2 linked regions of the Struthio camelus genome follow. The protein of the gene in region 1 interacts with the protein of each later gene in a biochemical or structural test. Links are inferred from orthologs where the notes say so. Each region holds a gene or a part of one and is shown on either strand. Other genes may lie near its edges. The genes, in order: SPTBN2 and ACTR1A.

The links.
Region 2: the proteins of SPTBN2 (region 1) and ACTR1A form a complex in vitro, tested with the Homo sapiens proteins (2 studies listed by BioGRID). The link is inferred for Struthio camelus from reciprocal best matches to the Homo sapiens genes SPTBN2 and ACTR1A.

Annotation. Positions count from the first base shown.
Region 1 is NC_090976.1:452,636-467,689, forward strand, and holds the start of SPTBN2 (spectrin beta chain, non-erythrocytic 2), read right to left. Parts: upstream 6,889-15,054; 5' UTR 6,745-6,888; intron 3,148-6,744; 5' UTR 3,124-3,147; coding exon 2,970-3,123; intron 1-2,969. Other genes in the region: RCE1 (CAAX prenyl protease 2), read left to right, coding at 13,311-13,519, 14,359-14,461, 14,570-14,653, 14,753-14,831, 14,926-15,054. UniProt on the Homo sapiens protein: Probably plays an important role in neuronal membrane skeleton.
Region 2 is NC_090948.1:15,728,662-15,743,720, forward strand, and holds the start of ACTR1A (alpha-centractin), read left to right. Parts: upstream 1-7,538; 5' UTR 7,539-7,682; coding exon 7,683-7,730; intron 7,731-13,396; coding exon 13,397-13,461; intron 13,462-14,358; coding exon 14,359-14,434; intron 14,435-15,059. Other genes in the region: SUFU (suppressor of fused homolog), read right to left, coding at 4,100-4,290. UniProt on the Homo sapiens protein: Part of the ACTR1A/ACTB filament around which the dynactin complex is built. The dynactin multiprotein complex activates the molecular motor dynein for ultra-processive transport along microtubules.

The sequences.
Region 1 (15,054 bases):
GTCCCCGGTGCCCCCCTCGGGGCCGCGGCCGCACCCCGCCGCTGGGCATGCGGCCCCGCGGCTCCTCTCGCTGCTCCCCGGCGGCGGGGCCCAGGCGTCCGGGCCCCGGGGGCGGCAGGCGGTGACCCCCCCCCCCCCCGCCAACCGTCGGCGCTGGCACCGCCGCCTGTTTACCCGCCACCGTCGTCCCGGACCGCGGGTGCCCTCCGGCCCCGTGCCGGGGAGGGCCCAGGCGTCCGGGCTCCCTCTTGACCCTGTAGCTCTCACCTCTCTGGGGCGGGGGGCCCAGGCGTCCGGGCGGGGGTGTCACGGGCCGGGGCAGGGAGGGACCCCGGCGTCCGGGGGGAGGGGGGGCAGGGAGGGACCCTGGCGTCCGGGGGGGGCCCAAGCGTCCAGGCGGGGGTGTCACGGGCCGGGGCAAGGAGGGACCCTGGCGTCCGGGGGGAGGGGGGGCCCAGGCGTCCGGGTGGGGGTGCCGCGGGGCCAGGGCAGGGAGGGACCCCGGCGTCCGGGGGGGGCCCAGGCGTCCGGGCGGGGGTGTCACGGGCCGGGGCAGGGAGGGACCCCGGCGTCCGGGGGGAGGGGGGGCCCAGGCGTCCGGGCGGGGGTGTCACGAGCTGGGGCAGGGAGGGACCCCGGCGTCCGGGGGGAGGGGGGCCCAGGCGTCCGGGCGGGGGTGCCGCGGGGCCGGGCGGGGTTTGGGTGTGCCGGTTTCGGGGTCCGGGGGTGGCGGGGGGGAGGCGGTTTCGGGGGTGGAGAGCTGGGGGGGGGGCCAGGGAGACCCACGGGAACCAGGAGGGACCTATAGGGCCTGGGGGGAGCCGGGGGGGACCCCCAGGGACCGGGGGGGGCAGGGGGAATCATGTCCCCCTGTAGGGACTGGGGGGGAGCCGGGGGGGGACCGTGAGGGGACCTACAGGGACGGGGGGGGGACCTGGAGGGACCTGGGGGGTGGCTGGGGGTCCCCGTCGCCTCGCTAGCTCCCAGCCGGGGGGGTCCGTCCCCATGGCCATGGTCACCCGGGGGGGTCCGTCCCCGTCTGGGGGGGGGGTCTGTCCCGGTCCCCGTCCCTGTGGCCATGGCCACCCGGGGGGGTCCGTCCCCGTCTGGGGGGGGTCCGTCCCCGTGGCCATGGTCACCCAGGGGGGGTCCATCCCCGTCCGGGGGGGGGGGGTCTGTCCCTGTCCCCGTCCCTGTGGCCATGGTCACCCGGGGGGGGTCCGTCCCCATCTGGGGGGGTCCATCCCCGTGGCCATGGCCACTGGGGGGGGAGACCCATCCGGGGGGGTCCGTCCCCGTGGCCGTGGTCACCCGGGGGGGGGGTCCGTCCCCGTCCGGGGGGGGTCTGTCCCTGTCCCCGTGGCCATGGCCACCGGGGGGGGGGGACCCATCCGGGGGGGGTCCGTCCCCGTGGCCGTGGTCACCCGGGGGGGGACCCGTCCCCGTCCCCGTCCGGGGGGGGGGGCCCCGCTCTCACCTTGCAGCTGCTTGAAGCGGCCCTCGAGGACGTCGGCGCTCGGGGAGAGGCGGGGGCCGGCGGGGGCCGCGGGGGGCCCCGGCGCGCGGTGGGCCATGGCGGGGGGACGCGGCGGCGGGGGGGACGCGGCGGCGGGGGGGACGCGGGCGCCGCGGGAGCCGGGAGCTCGGGCAGCGCCGGGGCGGCCGAGGGAGGCGCTGGGGCCATTTACATAAAAACAGGTTGGGCCGCTCCGGCGCGCGGTGCGTGTGCGCGTGGGTCTGCCTGTGCGCGCGTGTGTGCGCGCGCGTGTGTGTCTGCCTGTGCGTCTGTGTGCGTGTGTGTGTGTGTGTCTGCCTGTGCGTGTGTGTGCGTGTGCGTGTCTGCCTGTGCGTCTGTGTGTGTGTGTGTGTGTGTGTCTGCCTGTGTGTGTGTGTGTGTGCATGTGTGTGTGCCTGCCTGTGCGTGTGTGTGTGCGCGCGTGTGTCTGCCTGTGTGTCTGTGTGTGTGCGCGCGTGTGTCTGCCTGTGCTTGTGTGTGTGTGTGTCTGCCTGTGTGTGCATGTGTGCGCGCGTGTGTGTCTGCCTGTGCGTGTGTGTCTGCCTGTGCGTGCGTGTGCACGCGCATGTGTCTGCCTGTGCGTCTGTGTGTGCGCGTGTGCATGTCTGCTTGTGTGTGCGTGTGTGCGCACGCGTGTGCGTGTCTGCCTGTGCCTCTGCCTGTGCGTACGTGTGTGCGCGCGTGTGTCTGCCTGTGTGTGTGTGTGCGCGTGTGTCTGCCTGTGCGTGTGTGTGTGCATGCGTGTGTGCTTGTGCTTGTGCGCGCGTGTCTGCCTGTGCATGTGTGCGCGCGCGTCTGCCTGTGCTTGTGCGTGTGTGTATCTGCCTGTGCGTGCGTGTGTGCGCGTGTGTCTGCCTGTGCGTGCGTGTCTGCCTGTGCGTGCGTATGCACGTGTCTGCCTGTACGTGCATGTCTACGTGTGCGTGTGTCTGCCTGTGCGTGCGTGTGCACGTGTCTGCCTGTATGTGCATGTCTGCGTGTGTGTCTGCCTGTGCGTGCGTGTGCACGTGTCTGCCTGTGCGTGCGTGTCTGCCTGTGCGTGGCTGCGTGTGCACGCGTGCCCATGTGTGCGCACCTGCGCGTCTGCGCGTGCACGTCTGCGTGCGCGTGCGTGTCCACATGTGCCTGCGCGTGCGTGTCTGCGTGTGCACGCGTGTCTGCGTGTGTCTGTGTGCCTGTCTGTGTGGGCGCGCGTCTGGGGGTGGCAGGTGGAGCGGGGTCCCCCGGACAGGGGCAGCGGGTGGAGCGGGGTCCCCCGGACGCTGGGGCCCCCAAACGAGGGCAACGGGTGGAGCGGGGTCCCCCGGACGCCTGGGTCCCCGTCGCGCACAGGGGATCCCCCGGGACGCGCCAAGCCCGCCCGGACGCCGGGGCCCCCGGAACGGGGTGACCCCGCCGCCCGGCCAGGGGGCCCCGGCGTCCGGGCGCCCCCCCCCGCCGCCGCACACCGTACCGGCCAGCGCCTTGATGCGGGAGCGCTCGAAGAGCCGGGCCGAGCTGTTCTCGTTGTCCCAGTCGGCGGCGGCGGCGGCCGCGTCCCACCGGTTGTTGATGTCGTTGTACTGCTGCTGGATCTCCAGGCTGTCGTAGTCCGTGGGCGAGAGCATGGTCCCGGCCGCCGCCGCCGCCGCCTGTGGGCCGCCGCCTGTCACCGTCACCGCCGCGGGCCCAGGCGTCCGGGCTGCCCTCCCTCCCCCCCCCCCACCCGCTGCCGCTGCGCAGGTGCAGCCCTGCGGGGGAGGGGGGGGAGGCTGCAACCCCCTCCCCCCCCCCCAACCCCGGCTCTGCCGCATCCCGCTGGGGCCCAGGCGTCCGGGCAGCCCCCTGGGGACTCCTGCATCTGGGCAGCTCCCCAAGGGGCCCCGGCGTCCGGGCAGCACCCTGGGGGACCCAGGCGTCCGGGTGACCCCCTGAGGGGCCCCGGCGTCCGGGCAGCACCCTGGGGGACCCAGGCGTCCGGGCAGCCCCCCGAGGGGCCCAGGCGTCCGGGTGACCCTCTGAGGGGCCCCGGCGTCCGGGTGACCCCCTGAGGGGGCCCAGGCGTCCGGGCAGCCCCCTGGGGACTCCTGCATCTGGGCAGCTCCCCAAGGGGCCCCGGCGTCCGGGCAGCACCCTGGGGGACCCAGGCGTCCGGGCGACCCCCCAAGGGGACCCAGGTGTCCAGGCAGCACCCTGGGGGACCCAGGCATCCGGGTGACCCCCCGAGGGAACCCAGACATTCGGGCGACCCCCCCAAGGGGACCCGGCATCCGGGCAGCACCCTGGGGGACCCAGGCGTCCGGGTGACCCCCTGAGGGGCCCCGGCGTCCGGGTGACCCCCTGAGGGGACCCAGGCGTCCGGGCAGCACCCTGGGGGACCCAGGCGTCCGGGCAGCACCCCGAGGGGCCCAGGCGTCCGGGTGACCCCCGAGGGGCCCTGGCGTCCGGGCAGCCGCCTGGGGGACCCAGGCGTCCGGGTGACCTCCCGAGGGGCCCCGGCGTCCGGGGAAGCCCCACTGCCGCCCCCCTCCCGCAGCAGCTCCACACCCCCCCCCCCGCCCAGGGGCCCCGGCGTCCGGGCCCCGGATTACCGCTGAGCCCGGCCCGCGCCGCCGCCGCGGCTTATGCTCTTACGGCTGCGGATGAAGGGCCGCAGCCCCGATCCCTCGGCCCCCCCCTCCCCCCGCAGGGGGCTGCACACGCGTGTGCGGGGGCCACGGAGACCTGCCGGCACGGGGGGGCTGCACACGCGTGTGCAGGGGACATGGAGACCTGTGGGGGGGCTGGACACGCGTGTGCGGGGGCCACGGAGACCTGCTGGCACGGGGGGGCTGCACACGCGTGTGCAGGGGACATGGAGACCTGTGGGGGGGCTGCACACGCGTGTGCGGGGGCCACGGAGACCTGCCGGCACGGGGGGGCTGCACACGCGTGTGCAGGGGACATGGAGACCTGTGGGGGGGCTGGACACGCGTGTGCGGGGGCCACGGAGACCTGCTGGCACGGGGGGGCTGCACACGCGTGTGCAGGGGAACATGGAGACCTGCGGGGGGGCTGGACACGCGTGTGCGGGGGGACACGGATCCATGCATGCACGGAGAGGGCAGTCCATGCACACGTGTGCACACGGGGGACACGGAGCCAGGCGTGTAACGAGGGGAGTCTGTGCACGCGTGCGCACCCGGGGGACACGGCTGCGTGTGTGCGCGCAGAAGGGGGTCCAGGCGAGTCTGCGCGTGCCGAGGACACGGATACACGCATGCACGGAGAAGGATCTGGGCGCACACGCGCGCAGGGGGAGGTGGACGCACGTGTGCACGGAGAGGGGGGCCAGCCACGCGTGTGCACGCAAAGGCCACGCGTGTGCACGCAAAGGGGGCCATGCATGTGCACGCAGAGGTCACACGCGTGTGCGTGCAAAGGGGGCCACACGTGTGCATGCAAAAATCACGCGTGCATGCAAAAATCACGCGTGTGCACGCAGGATGTCACGCGTGTGCACGCAGGATGTCACGCGTGTGCCCGGAGAAGGCAGCCGGGAGCGACGCGGGTGCAGGCGTGGGGCGGGGGGGGGGACACCCAAACCCACGCGTGTCCGCGGGGCGCCGTGGGGCCGGGCGGGGGGCAGAGCGGCGGGGACGCTGCAGGGTGCAGCGGGGCTGGCGGCGCCGCAGTGCCGGGGCTGCGGCCGAGCCGGTTGTGGGGCAGGGCCGGGGGTGCTGTGGGGCTGTAACGGGGCCGGTTGTGGGGCAGAGCTGGGGCCGGTTGTGGGGCTGTAACGGGGCTGTGCTGTGGGGCTGTAACAGGGCCGGTTGTGGGGCTGCAGTGGGGCCAGTCAGGGGCCCCAAAGGATGCAGTGGGGCCAGTTACGAGGGTCCGCTATGGGGCTGCGGCAGGGCTGGTTGTGGGGCTGTAAGGGGGCTGGTTGTGGGGCAGAACTGGGGCTGCGGCCGGGCCAGAGCGGGACAGAGCCGGGGCTGGTTGTGGGGCTGTAATGGGGCCTGTTGTGGGGCAGTGCCGGGGCCGCTTGTGGTTCCCAGGGCTGGTTGTGCAGCTGTAACGGGGCCGGTTGTGAGTCTCGGGGCCAGCTGTGGGTCCCAGGGCTGGTTGTGGGGCTGTAACGGGGCCGGTTGTGGGTCTCAGGGCCAGCTGTGGGGCTGTAATGGGGCTGGCTGTGGGGCTGTAACGGGGCCGGCTGTGGGTCCCAGGGCTGCAGCGGAGCCGGTTGTGTGGCTGTAATGGGGCCGGCTGTGGGTCCCGGGGCCAGTTGTGCAGCTGTAACGGGGCTGGCTGTGGGTCTCGGGGCCGGCTGTGGGGCTGTAACGGGGCCGGCTGTGGGTCCCGAGGCTGCAGCGGAGTCGGTTGTGGGGCTGTAACGGGGCCGGCTGTGGGTCTCGGGGCTGCAGCGGAGCCAGTTGTGCGGCTGTAACGGGGCCAGCTGTGGGGCTGTAACGGGGCCGGCTGGGGGACTGTACCGGGGCCGGCTGGGGGTCCCGGGGCTGGTTGTGGGGCTGTAACGGGGCCGGTTGTGGGTCTCAGGGCCGGCTGTGGGGCTGTAACGGGGCCGGTTGTGGGTCCCGGGGCCGGCTGTGGGTCCCGGGGCTGGTTGTGGGGCTGTAACGGGGCCAGCTGGGGGTCCCGGGGCCGGTTGTGGGGCTGTAACGGGGCCGGCTGGGGGTCTCAGGGCTGCAGTGGAGCCAGTTGTGCGGCTGTAACGGGGCCGGCTGTGGGGCTGTAACGGGGCCGGCTGCAGGTCCTGGGGCCGGCTGGGGGACTGTAACGGGGCCGGCTGTGGGTCCCGGGGCTGGTTGTGGGGCTGTAACGGGGCCGGTTGTGGGTCTCAGGGCCGGCTGTGGGGCTGTAACGGGGCCGGTTGTGGGTCCCGGGGCTGGTTGTGGGTCTCGGGGCCAGTTGTGGGGCTGTAACGGGGCCGGCTGTGGGTCCCGGGGCTGGTTGTGGGTCTCGGGGCCAGTTGTGGGGCTCTAACGGGGCCGGCTGTGGGTCCTGGGGCCGGTTGTGGGGCTGTAACGGGGCCGGTTGTGGGTCCCGGGGCCGGTTGTGGGTCTCGGGGCCGGTTGTGGGGCTGTAACGGGGCCGGCTGTGGGTCCCGGGGCCGGCTGTGGGGCTCCGCTATGGGGCTGCGGCGGGAGGGGGGGGGCAGAGCCGGGGCAGGGGCCGGTTGTGGGTCCCGCCGATACCGGTACCGCTCCCGGTACCGCTCCCGGTACCTCCCGTCCCCGCCGTCCTACCTGGGCGCCGGCCGCGGGCTGCTGCTGCTGCTGTGGGTTCCGGTGCTGCGGAGCGGGAGCGGCACCGGGAGCGATACCGGTACCGCTACCGGTACCGGTACCGGCGGCGGCGCAGCCCGACAGCGCCGAGCGGCGGCGGCGGCGGCGGGAAGGGCCGCGGCAGACGCCGCCCCCCGCCGGGCCCCATTGGCCGCCGCCGCCGCCCCTCAGCGCCGGGCCCGGCCCCGGGGAACCGGCCCGGTGCCGCTCCGCGCCCCTCCCCCCCGCGGCGGGGGCCCAGGCGTCCGGGAGGGGCCCCTCCCCCCCCACCTCACCGGGGACGCGGCTCTAGGCCCTGCCGGCGCCCGTCGCCATGGCGACCGCGGGCCGTTACCGCCTTCCAGGAGCAGCCGCGGGGGGAGGGAGGGGCGGTTGCCATAGCGACAGCCCCTCGCGGAGGGGGGGGGCCTGCCCCGCTGCCCAGCGGTTGCCATAGCGACAGCCCCTCGCGCGCGGGTGGGGGGGGGAGTCCTGCCCCGCTCCCCCGCGGTTGCCATAGCGACAGCCCCCTTTCCCGCCGATGGGGGCCGAGGCTAGCTGTCGCCCGGGCAACGGAGCCCGACGCGGCCAATCGGAGGGGCCCGGAGGCGGGTCCTGGATGTGGGGGGGGGGTCCGTGTCGGCCCCGCCCCCGCCGGCAGGGGGCGCTCGCGGACGGGGTGTGGGGGGGGGGCGGATCATGGCGGACGGTGTCGTGCGCGCGGTGCGGGAGCGCGCGGGGCTTCAGGGGGTCCCTGAGGGGGACGGGGGGGTCCGGGGGGGTCCAGGGGTCCCTGAGGGCTTCAACGGTCCCTGAGGGGGACGGGGGGGTCCAGGGGGTCCTTGAGGAGGTCCAGGGGGGTCCAGGGGGTCCCTGAGGGCTTCAGGGGGTCCCTGAGAGGGATGGGGGGGCCCAGGGGTGGTCCAGGGGGTCCTTGGGGATGTCTAGGGTGGTCCAGGGGTCCCTGGGGTCTCAGGGGGTCCCTGAGGGGGATGGGGAGGTCCGGGGGGGGGGTCCAGGGGTCCCTGAGGGCTTCAGCGGTCCCTGAGGGGGACGGGGGAGTCCAGGGTGTCCTTGAGGAGGTCCAGGGGGGTCCAGGGGGTCCCTGAGGGGGACAGGAGGGTCCAGGGGGGTCCCTGGGAGCTTCAGGGGGTCCCTGAGGAGGACGAGGGCATCCTGGGGGGATTCAGGGGATCCTTGAGGCGGATGGGGGGGGTCCCCGGGGTCCATGGGGGCTTCAGGGGGTCCCTAGGGGCTTCAAGGGGTCCCTGAGGGAGCCGAGGGGGTCCAGAGGGCTCCATGGTGGGCCTAGGGGGTCTCTGGGGGCTTCAGGGGATCCCTGAGGGTTTCAGGGGGGTCCCTGGGGGGGATGAGGGCAGATTGGGGAGTCCCTGGGGGGGGGGGCCGCTCAGGAGGTCCCTGGGGATTTTAGGGGGTCCCTGGGGCCCTACACATCCCTGGAGAGGACGGGGAGGCCCTGGGGGGTTCCAGGGGGGCCCTCGAGGGTTTTATGGGGTCCCTGGGGGGGGGAATGAGAGCAGATGGGAGGGGCTCTGGGGGCTCCCACTGGCTCAAGGGGTCCTTGCAGGGGGTCAGGGGGCTTTTGCAGGTCCCTAAGGGCAATGGGGGGCCCTAGAGGGGTCTCTGGGGGGCCTTAGGGGGTCCCTGAGGGGAACAGGGGATCTCTGAGGGGTGTTCAGGGGGGTCCCTGGGGTCTCAGGGGGGCCCTGGGAGAGTCCCGGTGGGTCTTTGGGGGCTTTAGGGGGTCCCTGGTGTCTCAGGGGGTCGTGGGGAGGTTCAGGGGGGTCCCTGGGGTAGCAGGGGGTCCCTGGGGGGGTTGGGGACCCCCCCCATTCCCTGTGTAGGGGGGCAGGTAAGGGATTGGGGGGGGGGGCGGCCCAGGGAGCCCACCGCTGCCCCCCCCCCTCCAGGTGCTGGAGCGGCTCCTGCTGCGGCTGCAGCCGGCGGCGGGCGGCGAGCCGGGACGCGGGACCCTGCTGGTGGCCGTGGTGGCCGAGGGGGACGCGGGGGCCGCCGGCCCGGCCCGCTGCACGGCCACCGGTGCGTGACGGGGACGGGGACGGGGAGGGGGGGGGACACGCGCCCCGCGGGGCCCTGACGTTCGCTCCTTCCCTCCCGCAGTCGCCGCGGCGGGAGAGATCTGCTCCGCCATCGGCGCCGAGGGCATTTGGACAGGTAAAAACTTCCCCCCGACCACCACCACCACCATCCCCATCCCACCCCCGGCAAAAGGCGGGGGGGGGGGTCGGAGCCTCCTCCCCCCCGGCCCCCGACGCCCGTCTCTCCCTCCGGCAGGCGCGGACCACGTCCTGGCCCCGTGGGGCGCCCGGAGCGCCGCCCCGCCGCCCGCCGCCCCGTGCTGCCGGCCCGTCCTGGACGGCGCCCCGCTGCGTTCGGCCTTCGAGGTGCGCGGCACCCCCCCCCCCCGGGGACCCCCCCCCCGTCCCCGGCACGGCGCTGGCTGTCGACCTTGGAGCAAGGGGAAGCCGGGGACGGGCTGACACGGAGCGCGGCGAGCCCCAGGGACCCCCACCCCCCCCCTTTGCCGAAACTGGGGCGGGCGTTTAAATATAGCGGCCTCGTTTCTGCTGGCGGGTGCCGGTGGGACCGGGGCGGGCTGCCTAAAGCAGGTCACCGGGGCCCCGCCGCCGAGCTGGGGGGGGGATTCGTGCCCATCCGGCGGCCTCGTGTCCCCAAATCGGGTGCAAACGAGCAGGACGAGAGGCCTCCCGCTTTTTTCGGGGTGGGGGGTTTCGTTTTTTTGCCCCGTTAGCCCCTCTGCGTGCCCCGCGCCCGGCCGGCCCGTGCGACCACCGCTCTCTTCTTCGCCCCGCCGCAGCTCAACCCGCCGCCCGGGACGCTGAGAGCCGGCTGCGTCGCCTTGAGGCGCTTCATCCACGGCACGAGTGTGGTGCACCCGGAGGTGACGGCCCGCCGGCGGGGCGGCGCGGGGTCGCCGGTCCCCCCCCCACCGCCACCGCCAGCCAACCCACCCCGCTGTGTTGCAGCTCGCCTTCCACTACTGCTACCGCGTGGACGGCGCCGCGGCCTCGCGCACCTACGGGTGAGCGGGCTCCCGCGGTCCCTGAACGCCGCTCCGGCACCCCCGGAGCTCCGGCACCCGCTTCCCCGAAACCGGGGTCGCTCTTCCCCCCTCCCCGGGCCACGCCGTTTACATCGGCCCCGTTTCCGCTCTCCGCCGCCAGCGGGTCCGGCCCTGCGTGACGCCGCGGCTTCGGGCCGGGAGGCTCTGCGCCTCCGCGCGCCGGCGGGGGCCGAGGGGATTTCGACGCCGTTTCTCCCTCTTTTCCCCCCCTCCCCAACCCCGCAGCCCCGAGAGGCGGGAGAACATCTGCGAGCTGGGCGGAGCGCGGCTGCTCGCCCGGAGCGAGCACTTCGTGCGGTAAGGGCGGCCGAAGCTCGCGGAGAGGTGCCGGAAAACGGCTCGGCGGCGTCACAACGGCTTGTTTAAACGGCTTGTCCCCCCCCCCTCCCCAACCGGGGGGACTTTGCCTCGCCATCCCCCCCAAACGGCACCAGCCGAAAATCACCGGAGGCTCCTCCCGGCCTCCTCCGCAGGCCGCCCGCCGCCGGGGACGTGCCGCTGTGCCGCAAGATCCACCCGGCGCCGGGAGCCCCCGTCCGCCTGCGGACGCCGCCGGCCGCCGCCGCCGCCGGCCTCGGCGGGGAGCTGAGCGCGGTGCCGGCGGCCGCGCTCTGCCCCTGCCTCGAGCAGTACCCCAACGCGCCCTCCCGCCTCGCCTCCGTCTCCATATCCCGGCGGCGGCGGGGGCGGCGGGGAGGGGGCCGGGGAACGGGACTCGTCTCCAGGTGCCGTTCGCCGCCTTAACCGGCGCCACTTGTTCTGCTACGACCCGGCGGGGCTGCCGGCGGCGCGCGGCCGGCTCCGGCTCTTCGGCGACCCGGCGTGGCTGGCGGATTGGGGCAGGTTCGGCTGTTCGGCTTCGGCGGTGGCGGCGGTGACGGGCGAGGAAGGTGCGGGGACGGCGCGGGGTTGAGGTTGGCGGTGGGGGGGGGGGGACACGGCAAGGTGGGGCGGGGGCGGCCGCCAACCCGTTCGCCGCCGCTTCCCTTTTCCCCGCAGACCTGGCGGCGCCCGACGCCGCCTTCGCCCTGCGGCCCGGCCCGGCGGCGGACGCCGGGCGCCAGCAGACGCTGCTGCTGTTCCTCTTCATCCGCCGCGCCGACCCCTTCCAGGTCTACGACGCCTGTGCGTCACCCGCTCCCCGCCCGCGGCGTCCCCGCGGCGTGTGCGTCCCCCGCCGCCCCGTGACGGCCGCACCGCCGCAGGGACCCGGCACCTGCTGGCGTCGCACGTGGAGCAGACGCTGCTGGGCAGCCGGGCGGCTCTGCAGCGCGGCGTCCGGGCCCTGGTGCACCCCGTGCTGGAGGAGGTGGCCCGCCGGGCGCAGGTAACGGCGGGGACGCGGGACGCGGCCGCCCCGCGTCACCCGCCGCCACCGCCGCGTGCCGTCCCGCAGAGCCGGGCCCGCCTGGCCCGGGCCCTGCCCGTGACGCTGGAGGCGCTGAGCAACGTCGTGGCCAGCAGCAGCAGCGCCCGCTTCCGCCGCGCCTGCCTGCGCGCCCTGCAGGTCGGCCGGCCGGCCGGAGGGACGGGGTGGGGACGGCCGGAGGGACGCGGTGACACCCCGCTGCCCGCCCCGCAGGCGGCCGACGGAGCGGCGCTGGCCGCCGCCGCTCGGCGCCGCCTGACGGACGTCACCCGCCGGCGCCGGCTGCCCGCCGCCTCCTGCGACGCCGCCGCGGTGGTGGGTCCGGCCGGGGATCCCGCCACCGTCCCCGTGTGTGTCTCCCCCCCCCACCCCGGCTGTGTCCCCGTCACCGTCCCGCTCATCCCGGGGACGTTCCTGCAGCCCGGCCCCGAGGCGGAGCGGCCGCCGCCGAGCCCCGGGCGCGGGGCCACGGGTGAGACGAGCCGGCCCGGCGCTGCCCGCGTCCCCCCCCCCCAACCCCTCCGCCGCGGCCTCGTCCCCGTTTCCAGCCCGTTTTCACCCAATTTCCTGTCCCCCCCCCCCCCCCCCCCGCCGCAGGGTGCCCGTCGGACGCTGCCGGCGCGCAGGGAGGAAGGAGGAGGGCTGCCACGGCGGCGCCCGCCGCCCGGCCCCGGACGCCTGGGCCCCCGCCGGCGGGCCCGGCCGGCCCCGAGGCGGCCGCCTGGCTGCGGGCGGTGGCCAACCTGGCCGAGTGGACGCGGTGAGAGCCGGGGCGGCCGCCGGCCACCGAGGTCCCTCCCAGTCGGTCCCAGTTCCCCCCAGTCCCCCCTGCTCCAACTCGGCCCGCTTCCCCCAGTCGGTCCCAGTTCCCCCCAGTCCCCCCTGCTCCAACCCGGCCCGCTTCCCCCAGTCGGTCCCAGTTCCCCCCAGTCCCCCCTGCTCCAACCCGGCCCACTTCCCCAAGTCGGTCCCAGTTCACCCCAGCTGGTCCCAGTCCCCCCTGGTCCAGCCTAGCCTGATTCCCCCAGTTGGTCCCAGTTCACCCCAGCTGGTCCCAGTCCCCCCTGGTCCAGCCTGGCCTGGTTCCCCCAGTTGGTCCCAGTCCCTCTCAGTCCAGCCCACCCTGGTTCCCCAGTCCATCCCAGTTCCCCCAGTTGGTCTCAGTCCCCCCCAGTCCCCCTGGCCCAGCCCAGCCTGGTTCCTCCAGTCAGTCCCACTTCCTCCCAGTTCCCCCAGTCAGTCCCAGTCCCCCCACCCAGTCCAGCCTAGCCTGCTTCCCCCAGTCGGTCCCAGTTCCCCCCAGTCCCCCCGGTCCAACCCGGCCTGCTTCCCCCAGTCGGTCCCAGTTCCCCCCAGTCCCCCCTGCTCCAACCCGGCCCGCTTCCCCTAGTCGGTCCCAGTTCCCCCCAGTCCTCCCAGTTCCTCCAGCCCCCTCGGCCCGCCGCTCCAGCCCGGTGCCGGTGCTGGTGCCCGGTACCGGCTGCCCCTGCCCCCCCCCACCCCGGTCCCGGTGTCTGTTCCGGGCCCCTCCCGCTCGCGCTCTAGCTGCTAGCCCCGCCCCCTCGATGGCCCCGCCCCCTGTGTGGCTCTATCCCCGCCCCGCCCACCCGATCACCCCGCCCCGCCTGACGGCCCCGCCCCGTCCCCGCGTCCTTCACCCGATGCCCCCGCCCCCGCGCTGACAGGCTCCGCCCCCAACGCCGCCTGGCCCCGCCCCTCCCACGCCGCCCAGCCCTGTCCCGTCCTTGTGCTCCCCGCCCCTCCCCGGCTGGCCCCGCCCCCGCACCGCCCGGCCCCGCCCCCGCGCCCCCTGCCGCTCCCCGGCTGGCCCCGCCCCCGCACCGCCCGGCCCCGCCCCCGCGCCCCCTGCCGCTCCCCGCCCGGCCCCGCCCCCGCCCCGGTGCTCCCCGCCACTCCCCACCCGGCCCCGCCCCCGCGCCGCCCGGCCCCGCCCCCGCGCTCCCCGCCACTCCCCGCCCGGCCCCGCCCCCGCGCCGCCCGGCCCCGCCCCCGCGCCTCCCGGCCCCGCCCCGCCCCGCGCCGCGCCGCGCCATGGCGGTGTCGGAGGCCGCGGGCGGCTCGTCCTGGGCCGCGGCGGCGCCGGGCCGGGCCGGGCCGGTACCGGCAGCGGGTCCGGGTCCAGCCGCAGCCCCGGGAGCCGCGGCGGCGGCCGGGCCGTGCTGGGCCGCGCTGCTGGCCTGCCTGAGCCTGGCCTGCTCCTACGTGGGGAGCCTCTACGTGTGGGGCAGCCCGCTGCCGCGGTAGGGGGGCGCCGGGCCCGGGGCGGGGGGTCGTGGGGGTGGGTCCGTGTGGGGCAGGCCTGGTGCGGGGGGGGGCGGAGGTCTGGGGGGGTCTGGAGGGTTCTGGGGGGGTCCATGGGGCACGGGGGGGGTCTATAGGGGTCTATGGGGTGCAGGAGGGGTCTGTGGAGGGAGGTGGGGGGTCTGGGGGGGCCATGGGGCATGGGGGAGGGTCTGGGGGGCACAGGAGGGGTTTGGGGGGGTCTATAGATGTCTATGGGGTGCAGGAGGGATCTGTGGAGGGAGGTGGGGGGGTCTGGGGGGTCCATGGGGCACGGGAGAGGGTCTGGGGGGGCACAGGAGGGGTTTGGGGGGGTCTATAGGGGTCTATGGGGTGCAGGAGGGGTCTGTGGAGGGAGGTGGGGGAGTCTGGGGGGTCCATGGGGCACAGGATGGGTGTTGGGGGGGTCCTAGGATGTTCATGAGGCACGGGGGGGGGTCTGGGGGGTCTAGGGGATCCTGGGGGGGGGTCCTGGGGGGCCCATGGGGCACAGGAGGGGTGGGGGGGTCCTGGGGGGGTCCATGGGGTACAGGAGGGGTGGGGGGGTGCTGGGGGGCCCATGGGGCACAGGAGGGGCCTGGGGGGGTCCTAGGGTGTTCATAGGGTACAGGAGGAGGTTTGGGGGGCTCTGGGGGGCTCTTTGGTGTATGGGAGGGTGCAGGGGGGCTCTATGGGGCACAGGAAGGTGCAGGGGAGCCTACAGGAGCCCAGTCCTGCTGGGGGGGGCCTTGGGGGGGGGGTCGCACCCCCTCTCCCCCCTCCCTCCCCCCCCCCCCAGCTGACCCGCCCGGGGCCGCAGCGACCACCCGGCCGTCATCAAGCGCCGCTTCACCAGCGTCCTGGTGGTGTCGGGGCTGTCGCCGGCCTTCGTGTGGCTCTGGAAGGAGCTGACGGGCGTTAAGGTGAGGTCGGGAAGGGGCCCCGGCGTCCGGGAAGCGATTTTAAAGGGGTGGGGGGGGGCGCTGACCCCCCTCCCCTCCGCCATCCCCTTCCCCGCTGCTGCCGCTCAGCCAGACACGCCGCTGCCGGCGCTGCTGGGCCTGCGCCTGGAGGGGCTGGTGCCGGCCACGCTGCTGCCGCTGCTGCTCACCATGGTAGGTGGGGGGGGGCGGGACGTGGGGAGGGGGCTGCTGGGACCCCCCCCAGCACCCCCTTGCTTTGTCTGTGCGTGCGCTCCCCCCCCCCCCTTCCAGGTGCTGTTTTTGGGGCCCCTCATCCAGCTCTCCATGGACTGCCCCTGGCGCTGGCTCGACGGCCTCAAGGTGCTCGTCGGTAAGGGGACGCGGAAAGGGGTTTGGGGGGTGCTGGGGGGGGGCTTGGTGGGGGAGGGGGGGGCCGGGCGGGTGCCAGCGCCGTCTCCCCGCAGACCCCCGCTTCTGGGCGCTGTGCCTGAGCGACGTGCGCTGGCTGCGCAACCAGGTGGTGGCTCCGCTCACCGAGGAGCTGGTCTTCCGGGCCTGCATGCTGCCCATGCTGCTGCCCTGCGCCGGGCCGG
Region 2 (15,059 bases), on another chromosome or scaffold:
AAGTGATCATAGCCAGAATGCAGTCACACTCCTCCTAGGAGCAGCCAAGCACAGGGTCTGTGTACAGTTGCCCTATACTTTGCATGCATGCAGAGCACCTTCGCTCCCAGAAGCACTGAGGGTGTCCAGGCCATCTCCCTAGCTCGGTATTTGCTAAGAAACCCACGTGGAAAGCTGCAACAGTTTATTTTCCCCCGTCTCTCGCTTTAGAGCTCCATTTTGTGCAGGACAGAAGTGCAAGGCCGTTCTCCTGAGGAAAAGGAGTGACACAGACACATGAATTCCTCGTGAATGGCAACAGTCATGCACAATTATGCAAAGTTACCTGATTGGGAAGACTCCAGAGCGAGAGAGGTCAATATAATGACCAGCAAAACAGTGTGGGAGGTTAGCTAGTGGCTGGAGCAGATGAATAGGATTTGCAGTGAGGGGAAAACACCTCCACCTGCTACACAACAAGTTTCTCCTGCGTGCATAAAACCTGCTCCCAAAATGGGTTTAATAACACCCTAGACACCAGATGATTCACACTGGAACATTGTTTGCTGACACAAGGCATTTTGACACTCTGACAACACACAAAACAAATAAACCTTTAACTGACCCCTTTTCAGGGCAGGGACTTCTCTGCAAGCACGCTCTTCCTGAGGGCTTCTCAAATGGCATTCTTCAATCAGACGCAACAGTGAGCAAATTCTTCCTAGACTGCACTAGGCAAGCCAGACATCCCTCCCTCATCCCCGCAAGCAACCCTGTACTTCTCAAAAAAACATCACACCTCTCATGGGATCAGCAGCATCAAACTACCCAAGATCCAGGTGCAAAGACACTGCACCAACTGCCTTAGGAGAGCTGAGCTCTGCTTTGTGTAGAGCAGACCTGGTCAGCTAGCCACATACCAGCTTACACACTACACAGTAATCCAGATGGACCACGTTTATTCCCCACGAAATCTGGTAGGCTTGGAAGTGATTCAGATAAAGTAAAAAGTCTGCAGCAGTAACCTATTTAAAAAAATACATAAGCATGCCATAGAGCTATGCTGAAATCACTACAACCACAGGAGCACCTAGCACTAGCTTTAAGCCAGTTACCAGGAGGACAGCTAGTAACGTACCCATGGCAGCAGAGCTCAGCCAAGGCTAGTCAACACAGATATTCATCCAGTTTCATGGGCAGGTTTGCCTGCTACACTACCTCCTCAGGCACTGCTAATGCCTGCTCTGGTACATCCTCCCGCCTACAGTCACTACAGCGCTGTTCAACCTCGTATCACAATCTACATATCTACATATTGTACATACATACAAAGAGCTAGAAGGGCTGGAGGATTTTATTCAGAAGAGCTAAACTTCAAAGCTACAGGTACAGTACAAATTTGCTACATTCTCTACTCATGGAGCTCATTTAGGAGCAAGAAGGGCAGCCTCAGGGGAAATACGGTATTTGTATCTGCATGAAGAATCTTCTTTTGACTGATGTTAAGAGTGCTCTGAAGTCTCTGCTGGAGCAGAAACCCAAAGTGGGCAGAGGGGAAACAGCTCCACAATGAGAAAAACATTGGGAAATCCCCAATCTGTTTACACCCTGAAAAGTCTCCAGGGGATCCTTTATAACCATTTCCAGCAGCTGACAACAGGTCTTTTCTTCTCCACCACCTTTTGCCAGCCCTTCAGGAATGGTCCATGATCCCCAAGTAGCTGCAGAGCACAGGTCAGAGCACTGCTTTTCAACTACACAGCCCAAGTTCAAGGCAGATGATGAAAAAACAACAGTCCTGCCTGAATTCTATGTAATTCAAAACCTATCACAAAGTAATGGAAGTATAAACTTGCTTTTTCACTTGTAGTTCTGCGCATCAAGATATTCCACTTCAGAGGCATTCAACCACATTTTAAAAGCAAACACTGGTATTAGATGGCAACGGAAACTAACTCCTTCTCAGAGCGTAGCCTTTCACAGCCAGGAGCTTTTGCAAGAAGCTCTGACTGCAATCAAGAACTCTCTTCCAAGATATGCAAATGGTGTTTTAAAAAAAGATCTGCTAATTTCATGAAATCATTTGTACGGCCAAATCCCTTCATTTAACAGGTATGTATGTGACTCTGTGGATCCTCCAACTTTATGAAGTAAGGCATATGCTCTGCCATGTCAGCCCAAGAATATAATTTCAACTCCCTGAACAAAAACTTGTTGCTAACCGTAGAGAAACTGATATGTGTTATTAAAAGCTGACTAGCTTTATAGTATTTCTCCTACAGCAAGAAACTTTGTTCAGCAATTTCCTTTTTCAATTTAAACCATGTAATAGCTCACAGCTCAAGCAAAGGAGGATAGACTAGTTGAGAGCAAGCGGTGGCAGAACTCATTTATCAGACTTAACAAAACCAACCTCCTAGCTTTGCCAGCTTTGCCAACAAAAGGAGAAAAAGTCTCAGCAAAGTACATGCATACTTGACCTCACATAAGTTTCCTGCATGTGACAGCAGCAGTAAGGGCACCTCTGAGATTCTGCGACAGAAGCTCTCAGTTCGCACTGCCAGCTGAGATGACAGTAGGAAGAACCGTTAAGCAGAAAATGCTAGTATAAACAGGCCTTCATATTACTTCTTGCATGCAACCTATCATCACTGCCAATAGCAGTTTTTCCAGTGTTTGAGCTCCCAAATGCAATGAGGTCCTAATCAACCCCTTAAGCAAACAGGAAGCAAGGATTCCTCCTGAACAAGGGTCTCTGCCATTCCTCATTATAGACTCAAAACTCCCTCCATCCCGTACATATCTTACGTCACTCTTGCCAGTAGTATTTTAAGCTGTTGACTCCTAAACCAAAATGACTGGAAGACTCACGAAGCTTGAATATCTAAGATTAGATATTGCAAGTGCCTACACAAATTGAGCTGACCATCACTGAAGTACCACAGTACTGGCCTGTATGAATGATTAAGAAGTAATTTTTATTCCAAAATCACAGAGTTGCAAGATCTCCTTGTCTCAGTCCACTATGCCAGTTTAATGAGGACTAACAGCTACATTTCTTGACCGGAACCTCATAAGGAGCAACACTCATCTGGAAGACATCAGCAACGGCTTGCCTGTCAGAGCAGAACACAGGGAGGATGTTATTCTGTTGCTGCTTAGGATGCAACAACGGGATAGAGACACACACAGGTTAAAACTTACTGTAAATAAAGAAGCTGAGCTTTTGCTAAACTTTTTCAAAGTGCTGGAAGAGATTGGTCAATGTCAGGGCCAGGAAACAGTCAGTGGTGACCTGATCGTGTTCCTTGGGTCCAGAAGAGGGGGCTGAACAGCAGAGCTATAGTAAAAAGCATGAGGGACTCCTCTTCCCACAGGGCTAGACGCTAGACACTTATCTCGATAGCTAAACATCCGAGTGCTTCCTTCGTGCCACTCTCCCACATAAACAACTGCTGTTACTGGTGTCAGACACTGTGTCAGCAGCGATGGGAAGCAGCAGATCCTCAGCCTACGACAACACGTGGCTCTGCGAGGGCAAAAGAAGCTGATTCTCTCCCAGGGTGGGGGGGGGGGTTTATGGGCACACACCGCACGCGTTTGGTTTGGAGGCCAGAGTGCAGGTTCATCCTGGTCAACTCTGGCCGTATTTGTACCCCAGGCTCCAGGTCAGAAGAGGAGTTTGCGCTTCGTGTTCGGCAGGAGACACGCCAGGACCACCCAGCTCTCTGCGGGAGCCCCTCTGTTGAGGGAAACTTTTCCCATGGCCTCTGCCCCAGCCAAGACCCTCATCAGCCCCCATCCCTCGCTCAGGGAAGCTCCACATCACCCTAAAAACCCCAATAACATCACCCACCCTCAGTCCAGTCCCCTAGACCCCTGCTCTCCAGGGCCTCCCTCCCCCGCCCCCTTGCACCCCACCGGCTGCCTCCCCGCACCCCACTGCTCCCTCCCAAACACCCTTCAGCCCCACTACTGTCACTCCAACCCCCCCCCCCGGGCCCCAAACTCCCGCCAACCCCATGCAACGTCCCCCAGCCCCAATGCCCCCCCTGAGCCCTCTCCAACGCCACACGAGGCCCCCAGCCACCCCCCCCGACGCCGGCCGCGGCGGCCTCACCAGTACTTGAGGATGGCGGTGACCTGGAGCGGGTTGGGCTGGTCGGGGTAGAGGCGGCGGCACTCGCCGTAGATGCCGTGCAGCCCCGGCGGGAAGAGCGACGGGAAGGACCCGGACCCAGAGCCCGAGCCCGGCCCGCCGGCAGCGGCGGCGGCGGCGGGGGGACCCCCGCCAGGCCGCACACCCTCCATGGGGGACGGCGCGGCGGAGGCGGCGGCTGCTCCCGGCGCGGCCCTCGCCCGCTCCCGGCCCCGACGCGCGCCCAGCCCGACCCGACCCGACCCGGCCTGGCCCGGCCCAAGCGGCGCGGCGCTGCGGGAGGAGGGGCGGGGCGGGCCCCGCTGCCCCGGAGACCGTGAGTGGCAGGCGGCTCAGCCAATGGCGCTGCCGAGCGGGGCGGGGCGGCTACGCCTCTTCCCCCTCAGCGCCCCGCCTCGCCCCGCCGCCGCGCCGGGGAGACGCGCGTGCGCCCTCTAGCGGCGGCGGCGGGGCGGGGCCGCGGGGGCGGGGCGAGGGCCCTGTGGGGGGCTGCGGGGTCGGGGGGGGGTGAGGCGCAGAGCTGCGTGTGGCGGGGTGTGGGGCCCTGTGGGGAGCGATAGGGTCCTGTGGGGGGGGGGGTGAGGTACAGAGCTGCTGTGTGGGGCCCTGTGGGGAGCGATAGGGTCCTGTGGGGGGGGGGTGAGGTACAGAGCTGCTGTGTGGGGCCCTGTGGGGAGCGATAGGGTCCTGTGGGGAGGGGGGGTGAGGCACAGAGCTGCTGTGTGGGGTGCTGTGGGGAGCGATAGGGTCCTGTGGGGAGGGGGGGTGAGGCACAGAGCTGCTGTGTGGGGTGCTGTGGGGCCCTGTGGGGAGCGATGGGGTCCTGTGGGGAGGGGTGAGGTACAGAGCTGCTGTGTGGAGAGCTGTGGGGAGCGATAGGGTCCTGTGGGGAGGGGGGGTGAGGCACAGAGCTGCTGTGTGGAGAGCTGTGGGGAGCGATAGGGTCCTGTGGGGAGGGGGGGTGAGGCACAGAGCTGCTGTGTGGGGAGCTGTGGGGAGCGATAGGGTCCTGTGGGGAGGGGGGGTGAGGCACAGAGCTGCTGTGTGGAGTGCTGTGGGGCCCTGTGGGGAGCGATAGGGTCCTGTGGGGAGGGGGGTGAGGTACAGAGCTGCTGTGTGGGGAGCTGTGGGGTTGTATGGGGAGATATAAGATCTGAGCAGGAAGGGAGGGTGAGATACAGAGCTGCCATGTAGGCAGCTCTGGGGTCTGAGCGGGGGTGAGGTCCGGACCTGCATACGGGGAGTTATGGAGTCATGTGGGGAGGGGTGAGGTACTGAGCTGCCATGTGGGGACCTGTGGGGCCCAGAGGGGAGCTGTGGGTCGGGGTGAGGAAGGGCAGCCGTGCCGTGCAGGGCCGAGGAGTGGAGGTTGCAGGTTCCTCTGTGAGCCCAAGGGAAGGGAGCCCTGTGGGGCAGGCCTCGGGGGAGCCCCATGGCAGGGGGGGGGGGGCAGGCCTCTGTTTTCACCAATTCTTACAGCACCTTTTTCACCCCTTCTTTTATTTATTTATTTATTTATTTATTTATTTATTTATTTATTTATTTATTTATTTATTTTAGGTACCTCAGAGGCTGTTGTTAAGCAATGTAAGCGCAAGGGATGTCTGATCGAGGGTTTTACCCTGCATGCTCAGGGCGCTGAGGTCTGGCCTCTTCCTGGGTTACAGCTACATCTGTGGTCCTGCAGAGCCTTCCTTGTGTGTATATGTGAGCTTGCATGTGTTCAAGAACCCTATATGTCTTTGCAGGAGCGGTGTACTGCTTTTTAATCAACATGGGGAAGACTGAGCTATAGAGCACTGGGAGGTGAGAAGGAGTGCTCCTGCTTGTTGTGTTTCTCACTTAATTAGTTGGAGAGACTTTGCTCCAAAATCAATATTCACAACATACCTTTTAGGTGATCACATATAGTCAAGAAGTTGGCAAAGAGACAAGCAGATGATTATACCAGGAAAGGAGGTGAGCAGCTGGTATTTTCATGAATCATTGCTTCCTGCAATAACAGTATTTCACTTGTCCTGTTACCGTGATACCACTTTTTGTGACATCCATCTGAGAAGTCAGTTATAGTCAACTGAGAAGATAAATATGACAAACAGAATCATGTATGAAATACTTTGTTGGCTTAATATACGTAATTAGTCTCTCTTGGCATTTAATGAGGTGATACAATACTGTCCTTGAAATAATTTAAAACCCTCCATCCTGTCGTACCAAATAAAGTTCTTTTGCACTAAATGAAGGATAAAAATTACTAAAACAAGATAGTTAGCTGAGATGAGAGTATCTGCTTGGGTTTGAGGCAAAAATCACAGAAGAAAAGTCTTAGCGTCTGCATGAGAGATAGGGGGCAAGATGGGCTAGTTCTGAAATAGCTTTCATATACATTTACTGGCTTTGAATAACAACACCGGGCCTTGACGTTAGTTAAAATGCACTTCAGAGTTCAATGTATACTTTGCAAACATGTCGTTTTAGTGTCATGATCAATCATCAATTATTCAGAATGTTTTTAGAGAACGTGAAAATGAATGGAAAACAACAGTGAGCATATTATTTAATGTGAGAATGCCTATTACGTATGTTCTTGGTACCAACACTCCTTTTCTGCTTGCTACATCTCAAAAATACAGAGAAACTAGTTGATGTTCAGAGAGAACTGATGCACTATGACCAGCAGTTTACTGAAATGGTCTCATCAAATAACTAGCAGCAGAATGCTTTTATTATAGTGATATTCTTTCTATAGAGGGTCATCTTTTGTTTGTTTTTCTGCTAGTATAAAAATTGAAAAAAAAAATCTATTCAACTGAAAAGTGGTTAATTGAAATTTGATAAATTTTCAGAGAAGAAGATAGTTAACCCCTAGAATGCACAACCGCAGACGTCAGTAAGTAGAAGAGTACCAAGAGACGGCAGGAACAGTTGCAAAATGGTATGGGTAATGTTAGGAAAATCTGCTTTTTAATTAACTACAGTTATCACTTACACTTGAAAGCAAATTTATTACTGATGGGCTTGGGAATACACCTAGCAGTGGGTAGGGAATTTCACAATGGTATATTTTCTTTTTCTCTGGAGCATTTGCTCCCAGAGGCAGAGCAGCAGGCGCCCTGTGCCTTTGGCGCGGCTGCATTTTTCTGCGTTTTTCTTGCAAAGATGCACGAAGGAGGAACAAAATAAAACCAAAGGGTTCTCAGACTTCCATTTCAGTTGTGTCAAAAGGCAGCTTCAAGGGTTTGGATGTTTCTTTTTTGCTTTTCTCTCCTCCCGTTGCGCGGGTTTGTCATCCTCGAAGCAAGCGATCGCGCCGGGGGCTCTCGCGGGCATGGCCCACCCGGCACTACATCTCCCAGCAGCCCCCTCTCCTGACGGCACTTCCCGTGAGGCCTCGGGGCGCCGCGCGGCACGAAGACTACAATTCCCAGCACGCACCGCTCCTCGGGAATACATCTCCCAGGCGGCTGCGCGCCGCCCTTCTGTGCATGCGCCGCCGCGGCCCGGGCTGTTGCTGCCTGGCTGCTGGCTGCGGCGCGTCCTCGCCATGGAGTCCTACGATGTGATAGCGAACCAGCCCGTCGTGATAGACAACGTGAGTGCGGGGCCCTGCGCGCCCTGGGGACAAGGCGAACAGGCGGGAAGGAGCCGCGGGCGGGAATCCCTTTGTCACCGGAGCCCCGCCCCGCCGGCCCGCTCCCCCGCGGCAGCCCCCCCGGCTCGGCCTCCGCCTTGGGCCCTCGCCCGGCGCCGGGCCCAGCGGGCGTGCTGAGCCGGTGGGCGGGGCCGCCGGCCTCCCCCGCTGTGCGATTGGCTCCGGGGCCTGCCCGTCACAGGGCCGCTTACTCTCGCCGGTAGGGAGCGGTCCCTGCCGCCGCCGAGGTGCCCGGTCCCCGCGATGGCGGAGCGGCCCGATTGGCTGGCGCGGCTGTCAGTTACGGCCGGGCAGCCCGCTAGTACCTGCTTCAGCGGGGCGCGTCCCGCCCCACCCTTGCAGAGAGCACCTGTGCCCATTGGCTGGCTGGGCTGTCCGTCAGGAGCGGCTCGGGATTCCCCCCCCCCCCCCGGCCTTGTCCTCCTCTTTGTGCCTGGGGGACAATGGGGAGCGGCGGCCCGGGGGCGCCCTCTTCTCCGGCGCTGCCCTAGCAGATCCCGGCGGCAGGGCAGCCGGCGGGGCGCCAGCCCCGGACCGCCGCCTCGCCGGGTGCCCACGCGGGCTTGCTGGGCGGGCCGCTCCCTGCGTGGGTTGCATCAGCTTGGCTTTGACAGTGGGGCGTGGTGCCGCAGGTGACTGATGCGGGCGGATGGTGCCCCTCCTTAGCTCAAAGAAGAGCTTCCGCCTGGCTGGGTAGCGTATGAGGTGAATGAGGGTGACTGCATGCGCTGAGGAGATATTTCTGAGTCCAGTTCTGGTTAGTCCCCATCCAGACTGGCCTCCCAAGAGGACGGACTATCCAGGAAGGGCTGGGAGGAGGGAAGGCATGGGGTAGTTCGGAGGGAGCCTCACTCAGTGTAGTGAGTCACACATTCATACTCCTCCCTCCTGACCTCTGCTGCCAGTGATTCAGGTTTTCCTGTTTCAAAGGGTCAGTGCTTGTGCTCCCTCCTTTCTCCATCATCTTATTTACTCCTGAATCGTTTTGCCGTGTGGCATGTGGACTTGCTACCCTGGCACTTCTCAACCTAGTCCTTTTTTTCATGAGCTGAGTGAATGTAGGTCTTCTAGGATCAAGCCAATTATTCTTCTGACCTTTTCTTTCTTTATTATTGATCCCAATTTCCGCTCTACCGCTTGAGCTCTCTGATACAGTTTTGTTCTTGTGTCTTCCTCTGGAATTGCAGCAGTGAGATTTAGGTTAGACATCAAAGAGAACTGTCTAATGGAGAAGAAAATTAAGCAGCAGAATAGACTGCATTGAGAAAAACATGGCACTTTCTTTATTGGAGACTAAAGAATAAGTTAGGTTGATGCTCTTAAAACTAGCTGGAGTAATATCAACCCTGCTGTGGTGCTGGGTGACCAGCTAAGCATTTTAAGTTCTCTCCAGGTGTAACGGCGTTGTGAGGATGAGTTTGTTGCGAGAAGTCATATAGCAGCCCATATCTAATTTCAGTCTGTCCTTGCATTACTCAGTGCAATGATTGTTGTCCCTGCTTCAGCTCTGAAGAAGGGCTCGTGCTAGAAAACTGGTCCATTTCTTTTCTCATTTTATCAGCTGGTCTTATAAAAGCTAATAATTCTTCTTGCCTCTCTGATAAATGAATTTTCCCCTTCCTTTTCCCGTACAAGAGGTATAATGAAGCAGTTGTGCGATCTGCCCTTAATGCTGGCAAACTCTCAGCTGCAGAGCTTCGTGGTGACATTGCATTTTTGGTACTCTCATGAGTTAAGGCAAGACGGGAAGTGGAAGCTGCACAGAGAAAGTACTGCTGTTCGTGCTGCCTCGTGAATGCTTTTCCTTAGTGTTGCAGGCGACTTTTCAAGGCTGAATGTCATCCCGTCTCTTATGTGTATGGGAGGGTGGGAAGGGGAAAATGAAGACTGAGCTCGTAAACAAGCCGGATCCTGCTGGTCCCAGCCCTGCTCTAGTATCTCAGTGTGTTCCAAAGGGACATCAAGGAATGTGGCTAAAACTTGGATCAGACTTTCTCATGCCAAACAGCAAGCTCAGCTTCATATTTCCAACGGAGAGAGTTTTGCAATGTACAGTTAGAGCTTGGAGCTTCCCTGCAGTACAGCCTTAACATTCCTTCTTTTCCAGTAAGTTTTTTTTTTTTTTTTTTTAAAAGAAGACTTGCGTTCCCATCTTGTACTCCAAGAAGTTCTCACTGAAACAAATGGCTTGAGAGACCCGATGGACATAAAGAACATGTTAAGAGATAGCATAGTTCAGCTGTGGCCTAAGCAAGTGCAAATTCCTTGACCTCCGTGGAATTGTCTTCACTTATATCAAAGAGGATAAAATTTGGCTTTGTCATCTAAGTGGTATCATTTTAAACAGTTGAGCTGTCACTACAGAGTATTGTATCTTTCATTTGTTCTTATGAAATGAGCCTCTAGTAAAATAGTGTTGTAAGAATATGAAATGTAATTGCCTCATCAAAAGTGCTGCACAGCAGATTGACTTTCTTGGTAATTTCCATTTAAATTTGTGTCCTAAACACATGAATGAAAACGAATGAATCAATAACTGAGTCAGCTGCAGAGCTAGCAGAAGGGGCATGTTCAGGTACTTTAAGGTGAAGGAAGACAGTCTCAAGGAAAACTCTCAGGAGCATCTTAAAGTTTTTTTTTTTTAATGTAATTTCTTTCTTCTTTCATTCTTCTGCTCAGATACAAAAACAAAAAAAATCATACAGGATGAAAGCCCAACCAGGATATGTTCTGGTGGAAGGATGTTAATTTTGGAGTTCTTTTAAGTTTTAATAAATCAGAACTTCTAGCAGAAGCGAGGATGCATGGTATTTGGTTACTTGAAAGAAAGGAAAAAAACGGATCTTTATTTTAAACTTTTTCAATCAGCCAGAGTCATTTCAACACTTAAACCTTTTCCTCTCGTTATATGGGAATCTCAAACTGGGCAATAATAAATAGCTTTACTCGGTACGCACACATCTTCAAAGAAGTAAAATGTTTTCAAGGAAAATTGAATAGGTCAGAAAGCACTGTCACATCTTTGTAGTGCGGGGAGAGCAAACAGCTGTGCTTGGGTTATTCCCAGGCATTTGGAAGTGCAACTGTGTTTGAGTTCTGTCCTACCGGCATATTCAAAAAGTCATTCTTCTTTAACTCCAGCTAAGCATTCTGAACTACTGACACATTTGGTTAACTTTGAACTTCAATATGTAAATCTAAAAATGCGTAACTTGCTGGGAATCTCACCAGGACACTATGGGTAACTTTTGGCCTGGCATAAGGAAGTTTTGATTGCCCTGTTAAAATAGGAGCATCATTGTTCTCCTGAAACTACTTCCCAGCAGCAGGCTGTGCTGGCTGCAAGATCAGTCATTATCTGGAATGAGATATTCAATAAGCACAATATTCTGGTGTGGTTTTGTTCCTGCATTTGATTCAACTTTTTGCTACGAGGCTTAACAAAGGATGACTTTTTTTTTTTCCCCTCCCCTCAGGTATAAGGATTGTTTACAGACTGTGGTGAGGAAACTCGGAATAGTATTTTTGTGTTCTTGAATCATTACTTCGCTTTGAAGTGAATAGCCAGAAGAGAGTTCGTCTAAAAGGATGACTTTTAACACTTTACAGGCCGCTTTGTCACATCTGTGCATGTTAGTATAGATATTGGAAGAGAAAGCTGGAGCGGAGTCCTCCTTGCCTAGAGGGAGTAGTCCTGCCCTGGTACCAGCTTGGTTTGCCCTTGGAGCCAGCGTGGCTGCAGGCAGTTATCAGGGCACGAGGATTCAAGCTATCTGCTTTTATACCTTCTATAACTAGCTGCGTCTGGCTTGCAGAGTGTTCCTGATACTCGTCCCTCACAGATGGGTCCTGGCAAATCTCACTGGCAGTTTTAAGGCAGGACTGCACCAGCTGGTTGCCCAGCCCTGGTGGCAGAGCGCGCACGGTCTGTACGAAGCCTGGCACCTCAGCTGAAACTGCTGACAAAAGTGACCGGTGAATAAGGCGCAGGGCTGTGAACTGGAGAGGCTGGGGCTGGCTGCATTTCTTTGTGCTGAGCCTGCTCTGGCTGGTAACCTCTGGCCCTGGCGTGGGGCAGGGAGCTGGGATAGATGGGTCAGAAACCACTGCAGCGAGAGTTGCCAGAGTCTTTATGGCAAAGCCATGAGCAGGTTGTTTGACCTGTGAGTGAAAGTAGTGATGCTGACCCACACAGAGGTGGTGAGAAGGGAAGAGTCATGGAGGAGCTATGTTGCTATTCATTTTAAAATGCTGTGGGGCAGCCAAAATGTCTTTCTGGTTTTGTAAACAGAGCAGTCCTGCTGCTGAATCCTTGAGAGTGAACAAGCACTTCATTAATGCAAACTCACATGCTTCGCTCCCAGTACAGGATAAAAATGAACTGCTCCCCTTTCTGCAGAAGAGTTCGCGCCCATGGTAGTTTGGGGTTATCAGTGAAATGACTTATCTGAGGAGGTCCCATGAAAGTCCACTCCTCAGTGAAACTTGTGTGTTCCTGTGCACTGATCATTGTTTCAAGGTGTCATTCCTCTGTGCAAGGAGGGGAAATGGAGGAGGGAGAAGGGGTCTGCACAGACATACATTGATTATTGGGTTCCCAGGATCCCTCTAGATGATACCAACAGGGACAGAAGCTGTGGGGCCAGGTGCTCAGCGCTTACTCCCTGCCAGGGCCTCTCTGCAGCTGGTTTAACTTGCTCTGTGTTTGGTGCTTGCACTACTTTGCAAGTTCCAGAAGGCTTCTGGGAGTCGCTCCTGTCTGGCTGCTGTACCACACAATTTGTCTTCTAATCTCTTCTTCCTTGTCCCTTTTAAACAAATAAGCCATATCCTGTCAGCTGCTTTTTCCTGCCTCCAGCCCTTCCTCTTGCAGTCTGACCGGGACCTTTGTTGCTTCCAGACCCTAGTCCAGTCTAGTTTCCAGTATCTTTTTCTGATCGGACTTCCATGACCTGCCTCGTTAGCTTTTTCTAGCTTGTCCACCACCTGAACTTCTTTTCCTTCCAACCTGCTTCACATGATCGTTTCCCACTCCCTTCTCTGACTTTATCTACCCTCCTTCCATCTTCTCCAAATCTGCTTCTTCTGAGAAGCCTACAACCTCCATCCTCCCCTTCTTAGAAGTAGCCCCTGGAGCCATCCAGACAGTCAAGGTTTGGCTGCTGTTGCTAGACTTTATGAAATGCTCTTCTCTACCCGGAGAGCATTTAAGATAAATTGGAAAACTGCAGAGCTGGGATTTAGCCCGGTGGGCCTCCTGGATCCCTAGCACTTCATATAAGCAACAGCACTGGGGACTAAAATGTTTGTTGTCTGTTGGGAGCAGCTCTGGGGTGCGCACACTGAGCAGTACTGGGCACCCTGGGGTGATCAGACTGGAGGTGCTGTGCTGCTGCCAGGGAAGGTGCCAGTTAGTCCCCTCTAGTGGCCAAGCTGGCATACTGGCACCTTCCCATCCCCAACCCAGCTTGGAGAATTCACAAGAAGCTTTATTGCTGATAAAAAGGAGAGGATCTGGCAAGTCTGATGTAGTTTGCTGCTCTTTTCAAACTTGTGAAGATGACTGAATGGGTGATAAGCTCACACATTATCTGTTTTTCCCACAGGGCTCAGGTGTGATTAAAGCAGGTTTTGCGGGTGATCAAATACCAAAATACTGCTTTCCAAACTAGTAAGTACTCCACTGGCCTTGGTGAGTTCTTAGTAATACCGTGTATCGATTCTGTGACACTTTGTGGGGAAGAATGGTCAAAATGGTCCTAACTGGAGAAATTAGTTAAACTAGTTCTTCCTGCTGCGCAGAATGTGCCTGTGTGTCAGGAAGAAGAGATCGCTGTTGAGCACATTGAGATTTTTCTGAAAAAAGTTATGAAAGATTATATATTGCTTTGTCAGGTTCAGTACCTGACCAGAGCTTTAGGATTCTTTAGCCTTGAGACGCTAGGTGGTCAAAAAAAAGGGCAAAATGAAGTTGGGATGGGAGGTGTTGGCATGGGAGGTGTGAAGCCCTTTATAGTTCTTCAGTGTGTGATCTGGGTTCTTGATCCCTGCCATGCTTTCTTGAAAATTTTCTGGAAGTTTTACTGGAAGAAAGATTGCTGGATCAGGAATTCTGAGTAGTCACTGGCTTTTATTTTAATTTGATGTTTTTTTTAAATGAGTATATTTGTATTCTGAGCAATGCAGACTCGTCTGCTTAGTGAAATGGAGTATGGGGCTATAAATACCTAATTGAGAAGCCTACCTGAGGTCAAACAACACCATGTGGATCTACCAGCTCGGGCCCTTGCTCGATCTAGCCATGTTCGCCCCAGGCATCGCTGGAACAAATAAGCCCTGAATCATCAGGGCAAGTGTGGCTAGACTGAGCTGGCTTATGTCCTGCTGATTCAGGGATTAATTTAGGCCAGAGCAAACCTGGATCTGTCTATCTGCCTCTAGTAGTGCCCTCAGTCTCCCATTACTGCTGAAAGTACTGGTCAATGCACAGCGGAACATCAGGTAGTTAATCCTTGAGTACAGCTGGCCTCTCGCTCCAAAAGCATTAATACTCTTGCCTCTGTTCTAGTGTGGGCAGACCAAAGCACGTTCGTGTTATGGCTGGTGCTTTAGAAGGGGACATTTTCATTGGTCCAAAAGCAGAGGTAAGAAACTCTGTTTATTGCCTTATCCATATTATCTCAGTTTGCTGCTCTGAGTAAGGAGTTGTAGCACTTATGCTTAAAAGGGATGTGGTTGTTTGGCATCATTGTAGATATGACGAGCAGAACAGATCTCACTTTTAAGTGTGTTCAAGCTGAAGCAGGGAGCTTCATGAAATTCCTGTCCCAAGCTTGATCAGAGACCTTTTCCCTCAGTCTCATTTCATCTTCTCAAGTCCATCTATAGCTCTCCTTTTTCTAGGCTACTTCACAGTCTCTGTGGCTACATCCCCATCTTCTTGACTGGGGACTTCAGATTGGATCCTAGTTGCCTTTCATCCCCCTGGTCTGGGCAAGAAGCTTGCTTTCCACAGTCCTGCTCTTCCCAGCATGCAGTTATTAAGTCTCACCTTTCCCATGAGCCCTCTGAACTACATTCCCCACCACCACCCTGTTACGACTGAGCTGGTAGAACAAAGATGCCATTTGATGGGTGTCCGTGTAATGACTTGAACTGTTGGGATGGAATGTGCTCTGCAGACACCAGACCTTCCCACTTGGTGGAAAAAGAGCCTTGTTTAACCTCTGCGAATACTTCTCTGGGAAAGGTGTTAATGGGTAAAGTCCA